Linked DNA regions of Sus scrofa. Each later gene encodes a partner of the first gene's protein in a complex. Links are inferred from orthologs where the notes say so. Each region holds a gene or a part of one and is shown in the gene's direction. Other genes may lie near its edges.

Region 1 (4,172 bases):
GAGGCCACACCTCCTGAGCCTGACCCAGCCCCAGGCTGGACCTGTTCCTGAGAGGACGCTGCTCAGCACTGCCCCATATTCGGATCCCTGTGAAATGTACAGAAACTTCCCAATGCCAGGGCCCCATCCCAACCTACATCATCAGAACTTCTGGGTGGGGCCTGGCATTGCTGCATTTGTTGTGGTTGTTTTTTGCTTTTTTTTCAAATATATTGTTAGCATATTATTTCAAACTTACAGAGAAGTTGGAAGAAAGATCCAGAGTATACCCACATACCCTTTGCCCACATTACCAGTTATTTAATTTTATCTTATCTGTTTTCTTGTCTTCTCTCTCTCATCTACATGTCTGTGTGTGGTATGCGCTGTGTGTGTGTCTTTCTTTCTTTTTCTTTTTTTTTTTTTAGGGCCATACGTGCAGCACATGGAAGTTCCCAGGCCAGGGGTCAAATCTGAACTGCCAGTTGCAGGTCTACACCACAGCCACAGCAACATGGGATCTGAGCCACATCTCTGACCTACACCGCAGCTTGTGGCAACACTGAATCCTTAAGCTACTGAGCAGGGCCAGGGATGGACCTGCATCCTCACGGATACTAATCAGGTTCTTAACCTGCTGAGCCACAGTGGGAACTCCTGTGTGTATTTCTGAACCATCTGAAAATAAGTTCGCTATATTGTCTTCCTTTAGTCTAAAAAATATTCCCTAAGAATATGCAGTTATCGAAATCAGGAATTGAACATGGATACAAAACTATTATTTAGTCTGGCCTCCAAGATCAAATTTCAATTGTCCCAAGAGGCAGTGGTGCCTGGTAAAAACTCCCGGCGATTGGAAGATGCCTGCAGGGCTGGAAAGCTTGGCAGGGGATGAGATCCGCCCCGGGGGCACTGTGTGCTCTGGCCACAACCACAGCCGAGACTCCTCCTCCCTTTCTCAATTCCTCTCTCCCCGGCGTGGGTAGCTACAGCCCTGGCAAAGGTGGCTGGCCAGCCGCTAAGAGGCATTAACCCCTTTCTGCAGGCTGGAGGCAGTCTGGCCCCTGGCCGCTTGGGCAGAAGCTGCTGCGGGGCACCGTTATAAATAACCTGGAGGGGGCGGGCTGCGGGGCGGTGTCACTGCAGCCCAGGGAGGTGGGGAGATTGCCCCAGTGGTCAAGGCCTTACCTTGGCCGCCTGGCGCGGTGGGGAGGGAGGGGCCGACACAGCTCCGACCGGGGGAGGCGGGAGGGGGAGGGGGAAGGGGAAGGGGGAGGGGGGAGGGAGGGCAGCGGGCGGGGCGGGCCCGCTGTGCTGGAGGTGCGCTCCTGTCAGCAGCCGCTGAGGGCATGGGGGGTCCCACGGGGCCCCCTCGCCTCCTCCTCGCCCCACGCTCGCTCCTCTGCCTGCTCTGCCTCCTCCCGCCGCTGCTCAAAGTAAGTGCGGGAGTGAGGGTCTGTTCTCAGGGTGGGGGCGCCGGGAGCTGGAGCTCCGTGCTCTCCTGACCGCGAGGCCGTAGGGGGTCTCACTGCTGGTTCCTGGGCCCAGTTTCCTCGACCCTGTTAGGAGCTGGGTGGAGGAGGTCTCAGGGCTCGGTGGCCGGGATGGGGTTGGGCAGCCCTGCATCCGGGGATGGACTAGAGATGTCCTCCCTGGGTGAGGGGCAGGTGGAGGGGAGATGAAACTTTTCGCACTAGCTGGGATGAGACCCCGAAGCCCTTGTGGCTGAGCAGAACGTTCTGGGGCCGCACTAGTGTCTGGGGCATGCCCTGCCTCAGGTCCAGAAATTCTCTATCCCCTGTCCACCTGTCTCCTCCCCATGGATCCCACTCCATCTCCCTTGCGGGAGCGTCAGTCCCTTCCTCACCCCATGACAGTTCTGGCCGTTCCCTGCAAAGGACCACCAGAGAGCTGCCCCCCAACCCCCGCAGCCCTGTCCCCACCCTCCTCTCTGCACCTGAAACCAGGAAGCCCTTAGTAGCAAATGAGCAACGGTGCCGGGGGGCGCTTGGGCAAACCAACCTTGCTAGAGGTTTCTCAAAGCTGTGGGTGTCCCCCCAACCCCCACCTGGTACCCATTGGCCAGGGATGAAGGGATGGAGAAGGAGCTGCACAGAACGCTCTGGAGAAGAGGGGGTGAGGCCAGGAGGGAGCAAGTTTCAGAACTGGATACAGGAGGAATCTACCTCTAATCCTCTCCCCATTTTACAGATGGGGAAACTGAGGCTCAGAGAGGGAGGGTGATCTGTCCCAGGCCACACTTTTCATGAAGAACCACGACATCAGAAGGATTCAGAGGCCATACGGTGCAAGGGACAGAGCCAGGCTGGAGGCCAGCAGGCCTGCTCCTGTCCCCACATGTACACAGAGGACTCCTCCGTTTAGCCCTCATCTCATTCAACAGCTAGATAGTGAGCGCCCACTGTCCGTGGCAGAGCGGCTTTGCCAACAACCTGATTCAAAGCCCCGCTTTGTGCTGAGTGGGTGACCTTGGACAGGCTACTCAAATTTCCTCAGCCTCAGTTTCCTCCGGGTAAAACGAGGATGATTTGGGTGCTTCCTGAATAGGGTTGTCACGAGGAAGGAAAGCTCCGAGCACCGTGCCTGGCACAGAGTAAACGCTCAATAAATGCAGCTGTAGTTCTGTGCCAGGTACTAGAGATGAAGACACGGGGGGGCCCTGCCCTCCCAGGGGGTCTGGTCAAGTGGAGAGGAGGAGTGGGCACCATGTGAGGTGTGGTCAGTACCCCAATGGGCAGATGGCCCAGTGGCTCCTAGACATGCCAGGTCCTCTTAATAACATTGCAGGCTGCATTTGGGTGGCATGGAGGCTGTGGAGTGAGCTCAGTGCCCCCCCCCACCCCCTCACCTCCCACTCCCCCTGTCTTGGGCTCTGAGCTCTTCTGGTCCCCACCCACTTGTTCCCAGGATAGGTGCCTTCCAAGAGGGCTGCTGTTAGGGCCAGGCTTGCCCCTCGGCCCTCCCCTCTGTGGATTGTGATGCCAACTGCCCAAGCTGGTTCGAGGGAGAAGGCTTCTGGTTGCTGCCCCAGAGCCTGGCCAGGTGGAGGGGTCTGGGGGAGGGTACCCTGGGTACCTCAGAGGCAACAGCCTCCTCTCCCCTTAGAGTCAGCCCAGGGCCTGCCCCCAACCCTCCCTGGACAGCCTGAGACCGGAGACTAGTGATTCACCCCAAGTTCCTCAGGACGCAACCAGCTAGAGAGGAACGTAGTGTCTCTGGCCCCCAAATGCAGGCGTCTTTGCTCTGGGTCTTCGTGGTAACAGGGTTTATTCCTGGGTCGTCATCCAACTATTCTGAGATTTCTGAAATGAAAGTAAGTGACCTGAGTGGGTGATGGGGAAGGGAGGTGACCCGGGGCAGGGTGAGAGCGGGGGCTGGCCTCCAGCCCTTTTATTTATTCAGTAATACTTGATTCAGCCAGTAGTTAAAGAGGATCGTGCATGGTAAAGACACAAGGGAGAAAACAGCAGCCCACCCCCCCACCCCACCCCCTGCCCTGTGGAGTTGATAGCCTGGAGGAGACGCTGGCAGGAAAAAATGAATGTGAAGAACTGTGTACATTTACAAGCTCTGGTCATGGGAACTAAGAGCAGCTGTGTGCAGGTGTGAGAGCCTCTGCCTGGATTGGGAGGAAGTCTGCTGGGAAGTGGGCAGGATGGCAGAGGTGGAGATGGGGTGTCCTGAGCAAGCTGGGGGAGGGCCGCAGTCCCAGCCCTGAGAAGAGATGCTGTGAGGCTCCAGGGGCAGGGTGGGTCCTGGTGGGATGGGACTTCTTTTTTTTTTAATTTAATTTTTATTTTATATTGGCATATAGTTGCCTTACAGTGTTGTGTTAGGGTAGGGGCAGGTGTACAGCAAAGTGGTTCAGTTCTACACATACATATATCCATTCTTTTTCAGATTCTTTTCCCACATAGGTTATTTCAGAATATTGAGTTGGGTTCTCTGTGCTCTACAGTAGGTCCTTGTTGATTATCTGTTTTATATATGGTAGCGAGTAGATGTTAATCCCCAATTCCTAATCTACCCCTCCTCCCCCAGGTTTTCCCTTTAGTAACCATAAGTTTGTTTTCAAAGTCTGTGAGTCCGTTTCCATTATTTTGGTTTTTTGGTTTTGTTTTTTTTTTTTTGTCTTTTTAGGGCCACACCCGCGGCACATGGAGATTCCCAAG
Region 2 (3,572 bases), on another chromosome or scaffold:
GAGATAATCCCTGTCTTCCCGCTGCCCTTTCCCATCTCACCCCCCTTGCCTGCCCCTTCTTTTTCCTCTTCTTCATGATGCCATCCCTGTTCTGTAGGTTGGCCGTCGTCCAGTGTGTTGCTGTTATCTGGAACTCCTACCTGTCCTGGAAGGCACATCGGCTCTAAGCCTGCCTCCCTCCCTCGCTTGCCTTGCAGTCATTCAGCTTGACCCTGGGAGGTCCGACCACCTCTTAAAGTGGGCACATCGGTTTTCACAGGGTTTGGTGGCTGGTCAGAACTTGATGGAGTTAGCCCTCTGAAATGCCCATTTCACTCTAAAACGTAACCTGACTCCTGTGAAATCACTAAAACCTTTATAATGGCTTTATACCCACCGCATAGTAGGCATCCCATAAATATTTATTGAACCATATGGTTTTGTCAACTTTAGCTTATACCCACATCCCAGTAAATGTCACTCATTCCTCCTTTTCATAGACACATCTGTTTTCCAAACCCTTCCCAGCCTTAGTGTAGCTCTAGTTTTGGAGGGACCACCCCCTTGAACCCTTTATATGGTGCCTCTGTAAATGTTACTAAGTAGATAACCTGGAACCTGCAGAAGCAATAAGACCCAGCAAAAAACTGCTGAGGGGGGGCTACATTTTCTAGAGCTTGGAAAGAAGCCTGGAGACCACCAAGCCCAATCTTCTTTTACAGATGAGGACACTGAGGCCCGTAGAAGTGAGGTGACCTGTCCATGCTGAGTTAGTGGCAGAGTAGAAACTTGAACCCACAAGGTATAGTCCGAATGTCTGTGTACTCCCCAAGTTCATATGGTGAAAACCTAATGCCCAAGGTTGTGGTATTAGGAGGTGGGGCTTTGGGGAAGTGGTTCTGTCAGGAGGGCTGAGCCCTCATGGGATCAGGATGCTTACAAAAGAGGCTATGCGAGCACATGGCAAGAAGGTGCTATCTCTGAGCCAGAAAGCATGTCCTCACCAGACACCAAACCCAGTGGCACCATGATCTTGGACTTCCCAGCCCGCCAGAACTGTAAGAAATAAATATTTGTTGCTTATAAGCCACCCAGTTTATGGTAACTTTTGTTAAAGCAGCTCAGACTAAGATGCCAAGTTTTCTTCCTACCCAGCGATCTTAACTGGGAGGTCAAAGATAAAGTAATAACTACTGCTGCTGTGATTCCCAGGAGGAAAATTAACTTGGCTAAACTCCCACTTTGGAGCTAACCCAGAAGCAGATGGACCAGCCTTTTGTTGCCCGGAAGCACCCTGAGTCCAGAGGCCCTTTTTTTTTTTTTTTTTTTTTTTTTTTTAATGGTGCCTCAGTCAGACAGCCCTAGAATTTAGATCCTGGGGCCAGAATAAGATCAAGAATCCTGGCAGCTCAAGCTGCCTCAGCTGCCCCTTGGGTGGGTACCATGGCCATAGCTGAGTGCCAGTGGTGCTGTCCCAACTGGCTCTGTTTACAGAACTGATAGCTGGAGCCAGGGACTGGGTCTGAGCAGCGTTTTCCCTACCCCTCTGGCCCCTTCTAGAGGCTGAGGACAAGGTCAGCACCACGGACAGCCCCAAGGTCCAGCCTGCCTTTCAAGTGCCTGAGAAGAGATCTGGACTAGTCTGGTCTGGGGACCCGCCTCTCGTCCCTGCTGGCTATCCTAAGTGGTTGAAGGGCTTCTGTGTCTCCCAGAGCAATCTTTATGCCCCAACCCGGCTTCTCACTTTCTTGAGTCGGGTGTCACTTCCAGCCATGCCAAGTCCAGTGCCCTGAGGTGCGCCTGCTCGGGGTCTCGCAGCCGCTATAGGTCGGACTTGAAGCCGCGGCCGTCATTGCTCTACAATCAGTGCATGTTCCTTGCTGACGTCATTCGGTGCTGTCCTGGCGCTATATAAGGCTGGCGGCGGTCCCGGGACAGACCCCGTGTTCCCCAAGGCGCCCTCAGCCCGCCCCGAGGGACAGAGACTGGAGCTTGGTCCTGCACGGAGCAGACGCTCTCCCGCAAACTGTGAGTGGCTCTGAGCATCCGCCCAGCTTCCCTCAGCACCGGGACAGCGCTCAAATCACCCACCACCAAGAGGGAGGGAGGAAAGGGTGGCAGCGGCTGGGGCTGGAGGGAAGGCTGCGGGCTCCGGGCAGCAGTCGCAGGGGCTCGCTAGGGAAGGGACGCTGGACGTGCGCGGGAAGGGGAGTGGTGCCACCTGCGACTGTCCCAGACGCACCTCACCCCCGCGCTGCCTCTGTGTGTCCAGGGCCGGTGGCACCATGAGGCCGGCGGGACTTGCTGCGCTGCTGGCGGCCCTTCTGCTTCTGGCACAGCTGCGTCCGGGGAGCAGCCAGTGGAGCCCAGAGGCGGCCGTGGCCGGGGTCCAGGACCCGAGTCTGCGCTGGAGTCCCAGGACGCAGAAGCACGGCGGCAGCGGGGCCCGCGCCCTCCTCTTGTTGCTGGCCGAGCGCTTCCCACGCCGCGCAGGGCAGGGCCGGTGGGGATCCGGGGCCGCAAGTGAGCGGCCGCGACGGGACGACCCTCCGCTGTCCATTGACCTCACCTTCCACCTGCTGCGGACCCTGCTGGAGCTGGCGCGGACGCAGAGCCAGCGGGAGCGCGCCGAGCAGAACCGCATCATATTCGACTCGGTGGGCAAGTGATCATCTGGGTCTGGGGCCTGAAACCCTCGACCTGCATCCCCACCCCCAGGCTGGGCGTGAGGGACTGGAACTGACCTAGTCCCGCGCGGCTAGAGCGGCCTAGAGATGCCCTGAGCACTCCCCACGATACTAGTTTTTAATAAAAGTGCTGAAGAGCCGTTGGCCTCTGTTTGGGGGCTCAGGGAACCACAGCAGGGTGGGAACCTGTGGGAAAGTGGGGCCGCCCAGACCGGAGAGAGGGAACCGGGTACTGCTGGAGGGCTCCGGGAGGACGGCTTTCAGCCAGGTTCCTGTGGTCCCCATGTCCCCAAGTCTCCTAGGAACTCAAGCCCCAGTACCGCCGCATCCCCACCCCACCCTCTTCCGTTGGCACTGGGCTCGCGAATCTGTGCCTGATATCAAGGAGATGCCCAATAGGGGTTCATTCCACTTCTGCTCCCCAAATGGTCCCAGATTTGGAGAGGGCGGGAGGTGATGCGAACGTCTCCGAGGCTGAGAGAGTGAGCAGCGAAAGGAGCGCGGGTGGGGACGCATTAGCTCTTTATTGAGCCCCTCCCCCGCGGCGGGGCGCCGAGCTGGGTGGCGCGGTGGTCTCCGTTCAGATCCTTCACCACCCGAAAGTCAGGCTCCCCAACAGGGGCGGGTCAGTGCAGTCCTGCGCCCGGAAAAGAAAGCTCCATGGGCAGGCGCTCCAAAGGAACAGGGCAACTCCGAAACACAGCTGAATCCCTTTCCCCAGCCAGGAAAGCCTCTCCTCCACTTTCCCGTCCAACCTGGCCTTCCAAACCCCAGGGAATGAATGGTGGGCAAGGAAGTTGTACTTCAGCCCGCGCGCTAGGGGGCGTGTCCCGTGGGGGCCACGCGCGATCCCTGATGCCGCAGAGAGGGCAGTGGCCGGAGGAGAGGGCAGGAGCGGAGCAGCCA
Region 3 (4,074 bases), on another chromosome or scaffold:
CCTTCCTGCCAAGCACTCTGGGGGCTGGGCTATGCCCCCGTGTCAACACCTGGGTGGCCTGGGGGGGCAGGTGTCCTGCGGCGGTTCACGACACGGTATGGCATGTAATGTGGCCTGGCAGTGGTCCCGAAGCGGGAGGGCAGCTCTGGGCCTGGCGGCCTTGCGGACCCACATCCCTTCCCGTCTGCTCAGTGGCTGCCTGCCTGCAGGAAATGGCCCTGGGAGGCGACTTCGTATCAGGTGACCCCAGGCCAGCTTCCTGGCCTGAGCACCAGTCAGGCTCTGGGGCCTCCCCAGGCGGCCCCTGCTGTCTGGACAGGGCAGTGCGCCACAGGCAGCCCCTGCGCCGTCGCCCGGCTCCCTCCCCGCCGCTGAGGTCACAGGTGCAAGCTCTTTATCTGGCAGGTGCTGGCGGAGCCGAGTCCCACGGCTCCACCTGCGGGGAGAGGCATCCCTAGAACAGCAGGAGCAGCCTCCCCTAAGCAGTGGGAGGTGGGGCTGGGTCCAGCGGCCTGCCAGCAGCGCCCTCCCCTCCCAATGGTTCCTGTAGCTACCCGCCCCAGCCCCCAGCCCCTGCCCCTGTCTGCAGCGGCCCGGGCCTCCCCTACTCTGCCGCTGCAGGTGCAGGCAGAACCCTCTGTCAAGCCAGCCTGCTGCCCGGGTACGCTGGGCCAGCGAGGGTTGGGTCCCAGCTTCCTGGCAACAGGGACTCCTCCCTGAGTCTGTGCCCAGGCCTCTAGGTGGCACCTGAGGCCGGGCTGGGGAGAAGGGGGTGGGGGGCCCCAGGGCCCGCCCTCCCCGCGGCCCCGCCCCCGCCCTCCCCGCGGCCCCGCCCCCGCCCCCCGCCCCCCCATCGTCCCCCCCGCTGCGCTGGCGCGGGGGTCTCTGCCTCCCGCCCTCCGTCCTGGTCTCCGCGCTCCCGCCCGGCCCGGGATGTGCGAGGGCGTTTCTGGCGGCTGCACTCCGGACTGGGCGGGCGGCGGCGGCCTGGCCTTGTGCAGGCAGCTGGGGGAAGCGCCGGCGCCGAACAATTGCGGCCTCCCTGCCAAGGGCGCCGCCCAGCCCGGGAGAGGAAATGGGGCTGGGGGCTGGGCGGGCGGCCGCGCTGGCTGCCCCTCGGGGCGCCCTCGGTGCCCGCCTGAGAGGCCCTGGAGCCGCTGCGGGGGCGGGCGGAGCAGACCTGCCGCCCTCCGCCCTGCGTGCCGGCTCTGCCCCCAGCATCCGGTTTCAGGCGGAGCTGCCCAGCCTCGGCGGGGGAGCCAGAACCCGGCCCTGAGGGCCTTGGACCGGCGGCAGGTCGGCCTGGGGGCCGCCCCACTGCCTTTTCCCTGTCCCGAAGCCTCCCCTCCTGACGGCCAGGTGACAGCCCTTCCTCTGCTCGGGTCGTGCCAGCAGGGCCCGTGGGCCCCCAGAGCCTGCCTCCAGGGCTGCGGGAAAGCCGAGCCCAGGCCTCTCAGAACCATGCTGGGGTCTCGGGTGCACGTGGCTGCGAAGCTGGGGGCAGGAGGCTGGCCCAGCAGGAGCCCCAGCGGCCTGGCTGCATCCGGCTGAGCCTGAGGCCCAGGGTCTGCTCATTCCCTGAGCCTGTCATCACCCCTTTACAGATGAGCTGGTTAAGCTGCTACCCTGAGTGCTGGCTGCTCCAACTTGTGTGTGTGTGTGTGTGTGTGGTGTATGGCATGTGGTGTGCAGTGTGGGGTGTGTGTGGTATGGTATGTGGTGTATGTGGGGTGTGTGTATGTGGGTTTTGATGTGTGTGTTGTGTGTGGGGGGGTATGTGGCATGTGTGGTATGTGGCGTATGTGGTGTGTGTGTGTTGTGGGGGGGGTGTGGTATGTGGGGGGTGTGGTATGGGGGGGTGGCGTGTGGTAGGTGGTGTGTGTCCAGGCAGGACACTGAAAAGCCCCCGTGGAGGTTTGCTGGAGGCGGGCTTTCCAACCCCGCAGTCAGGGTTCTGCAGCAGAGGGGCTGCTGCTCCTCAGGGACCCCCAGAGCAGAGTGGCCCCCTGTCGGGCCCCCACTGAGGCCACCTGGTCCCGGGTTCTAGCCCACCTAGGACTGCCCCTCTGGGAGTGGCCCGGAGGCTGCTTGGACCTCCCTAGGGTGTCGGCCCCAAATCTGGGGGGGGGGGACAAGCTGCCCACCCCGGGGCAGCCCCTCCTCCAACCCCACGTGGCACTCCCAAAGCCCCATGGCCATGGCCCCCCCACGTTTTGGTGTCCCCCACGAGGGATGACTGGTTCAGGACCAAAGGTGGGTACAGGCTTGAAGGTCAGCATGATGGGGGGCTTGGGGACAAGGGACATGTCATGCCCTTGGAGAGAGAGGGGCTGCTGCTTCCACTGCCCAGGGGAAGGTGTGCAGAGGTCCTTCTAGGTCGGCTGGCGGCCAGGGGGCCCAGGCCATCCCCCTTCCCAAGGCGGATGCAGTGCCCTCTGCCTGCCACACCAGTCCTGGGCTCTGGGGCCCTGACTACCCTGGCCACGTCCACCTCGGCCTGGCCCCTTCCTGGGCTCTGAGGCTGCCTGCCCTGGGGTCTGCTTGACTGTCACCTCCCTGGGCACCCCCCATCGAACTGTGCCCCTGCTCTCCCGTGCCCCCAACAGGCCTGCCCCTGCCAGGGAGCCATGGGTGGGTGCGCCACCCAGGGAGTTGTGCTGAGAGAAGGACCGGGAGCCTCCTGGCTGTGTGGCCCGTTCTACTGGCCAAGCCTGCCTCTGGAGGCCCACGGGAACTCGGGCTCTGATCACCTACCTTCCGCCCAGCCCCCTTCCTCGTCCTCGCCCTCGTACTCCAGGGCCTGGAGGCGCACTTACTGGAAGCAAGGTTAGGATGGCCCTGGGTGGAGAAGCAGACGCTGCTCAGTGGGACAAGACAGATGCTGTGGGCACCGCCCCCTGCAGCTCTGAGACCCTAAAAGCCTGGCTTGGAGCGTGGCCCCCGGGAGGGGGTCCTGGCCTTGTGCACAGATTGTTTGAATAATTCAGATTTAAGAGACCTACTTTCCCGTCAGAGCTCTTCCTGCTGCAGAGCAGATGGGGCAGGGGCATCTGAATTATGCATTCTGCTCCCCAGGTTTTTAGTGAGGGCTGGGCACCAAGCCAGGCACTGTCCCCTCAGGCCCAGCTGGCCGGGCCCTTGCTGAGTAGGCTGAACGGACCACAGGCTGGTCTCAGAGCCATTTGTCTAGAGAGCCAGGGTTCTCTGCGGGGGTCAGGAGAAGCCTGGGCTCCTGGCTGGGCGCAAGCTCTGCCTGAAAGCACCCTGACTGACACCCCACCGAGGAGCGTGCTGGGTCGCAGGTAGGGGCCAAGAACAGCCAGAGGCCTGGAGGGTGGGGCAGGGAGAGCCGGGGCCCCAGAGCCTCCTCCAGACCCTTGAGGTCATGGGGCCCCAGCCAGCCAGAAACCAGAAGCTGTCATGGGCTCCTGAGAGCGGACCAAGGCCCCAGGCAGGTGTCTAGGGCTCTGACACCTGGGGACCCTGACACCTGGGGGCCAGATGCGGATGAGGCCTCAGGCTGCTAGGGAACTGGGAATAAAGGCCCAGGGTCCCCTGTTCCTTCCTGGCTTCCCCTCAACTTTGCCCCTCACACCCAGTCCATAAACACATAAACAGGATTCCAGGCCCTGGCCACAGGGCAAGGCCCTGCCACGCCCTGCAGATTAGCTAGGGGCCACAAGGCTGCACCCCAAGGTCTTAGAGAGCTGGGCAGGCTCCGGCCTGGGGTCCTCGTGCTTGGCCTTGCCCTGCAGCCCTGCTGGAACGGGGAATGGGCCTGGCCAGGCCAGTGGTAGCCTGAGGCATGGGGAGCCCTGGGCCTACCCTGCCAGGCCTCCTGCTGCCAAGTCAGGCCAGCTCTCAGGTGGGCATGCAGGGACCCAGAATGGCAGAAGGGTCCTGAGGGCCCCTCAGGTCTCCTGCCACCCCCACAACCGCAGAGCTGCCCCATAGAGACCGCTTGCCCAGGGCCCTCCTCTGCTCTGCTGCTGGGCCTGCCCCTCCACCTTCACATCTCTCCTCCTCTTCCCTCTTCTCCCTCCTTCCCCCTTTCTCCTCACTTTCCCTCCCCCC

Evidence for each region. The genes of interacting proteins can lie anywhere in the genome.
Region 2: the proteins of CRHR2 (region 1) and UCN are in contact, whole or in part, in a cryo-EM structure (PDB 7TS0), measured with the Homo sapiens proteins. The link is inferred for Sus scrofa from reciprocal best matches to the Homo sapiens genes CRHR2 and UCN. Residues at the interface, in NP_001874.2 of Homo sapiens: Phe68, Asn69, Gly70, Val71, Tyr73, Ile101, Leu102, Asp103, Asp104, Arg107, Asp110, Tyr113, Leu117, Asn120, Trp166, Leu169, Gln170, Val172, Asp173, His174, His177, Glu178, Thr188, Phe191, Asn192, Phe199, Phe256, Gly257, Lys258, Asp265; in NP_003344.1 of Homo sapiens: Asn84, Pro85, Ser86, Leu87, Ser88, Ile89, Asp90, Leu91, Thr92, Phe93, His94, Leu95, Leu96, Arg97, Thr98, Leu99, Leu100, Leu102, Arg104, Thr105, Ser107, Gln108, Arg111, Ala112, Asn115, Phe119.
Region 3: the proteins of CRHR2 (region 1) and GNB1 are in contact, whole or in part, in a cryo-EM structure (PDB 6PB1), measured with the Homo sapiens proteins. The link is inferred for Sus scrofa from reciprocal best matches to the Homo sapiens genes CRHR2 and GNB1. Residues at the interface, in NP_001874.2 of Homo sapiens: Arg142, Ser143, Lys372, Arg376, Asp379, His380, Ser382, Val385; in NP_001269468.1 of Homo sapiens: Arg42, Gln44, Arg46, Arg52, Phe292, Val307, Ala309, Gly310, His311, Asp312.

Annotation. Positions count from the first base shown.
Region 1 is NC_010460.4:42,250,506-42,254,677, forward strand, and holds the start of CRHR2 (corticotropin-releasing factor receptor 2), read left to right. Parts: upstream 1-1,249; 5' UTR 1,250-1,328; coding exon 1,329-1,415; intron 1,416-4,172. UniProt on the Homo sapiens protein: G-protein coupled receptor for CRH (corticotropin-releasing factor), UCN (urocortin), UCN2 and UCN3. Has high affinity for UCN.
Region 2 is NC_010445.4:111,832,861-111,836,432, forward strand, and holds UCN (urocortin), read left to right. Parts: upstream 1-1,221; 5' UTR 1,222-2,007; intron 2,008-2,251; 5' UTR 2,252-2,264; coding exon 2,265-2,648; 3' UTR 2,649-3,072; downstream 3,073-3,572. Other genes in the region: protein Mpv17, read left to right, coding at 98-167. UniProt on the Homo sapiens protein: Acts in vitro to stimulate the secretion of adrenocorticotropic hormone (ACTH). Binds with high affinity to CRF receptor types 1, 2-alpha, and 2-beta. Plays a role in the establishment of normal hearing thresholds.
Region 3 is NC_010448.4:63,954,715-63,958,788, reverse strand, and holds the start of GNB1 (guanine nucleotide-binding protein G(I)/G(S)/G(T) subunit beta-1), read left to right. Parts: upstream 1-1,274; 5' UTR 1,275-1,296; intron 1,297-1,337; exon of another isoform or gene 1,338-1,359; intron 1,360-4,074. UniProt on the Homo sapiens protein: Guanine nucleotide-binding proteins (G proteins) are involved as a modulator or transducer in various transmembrane signaling systems.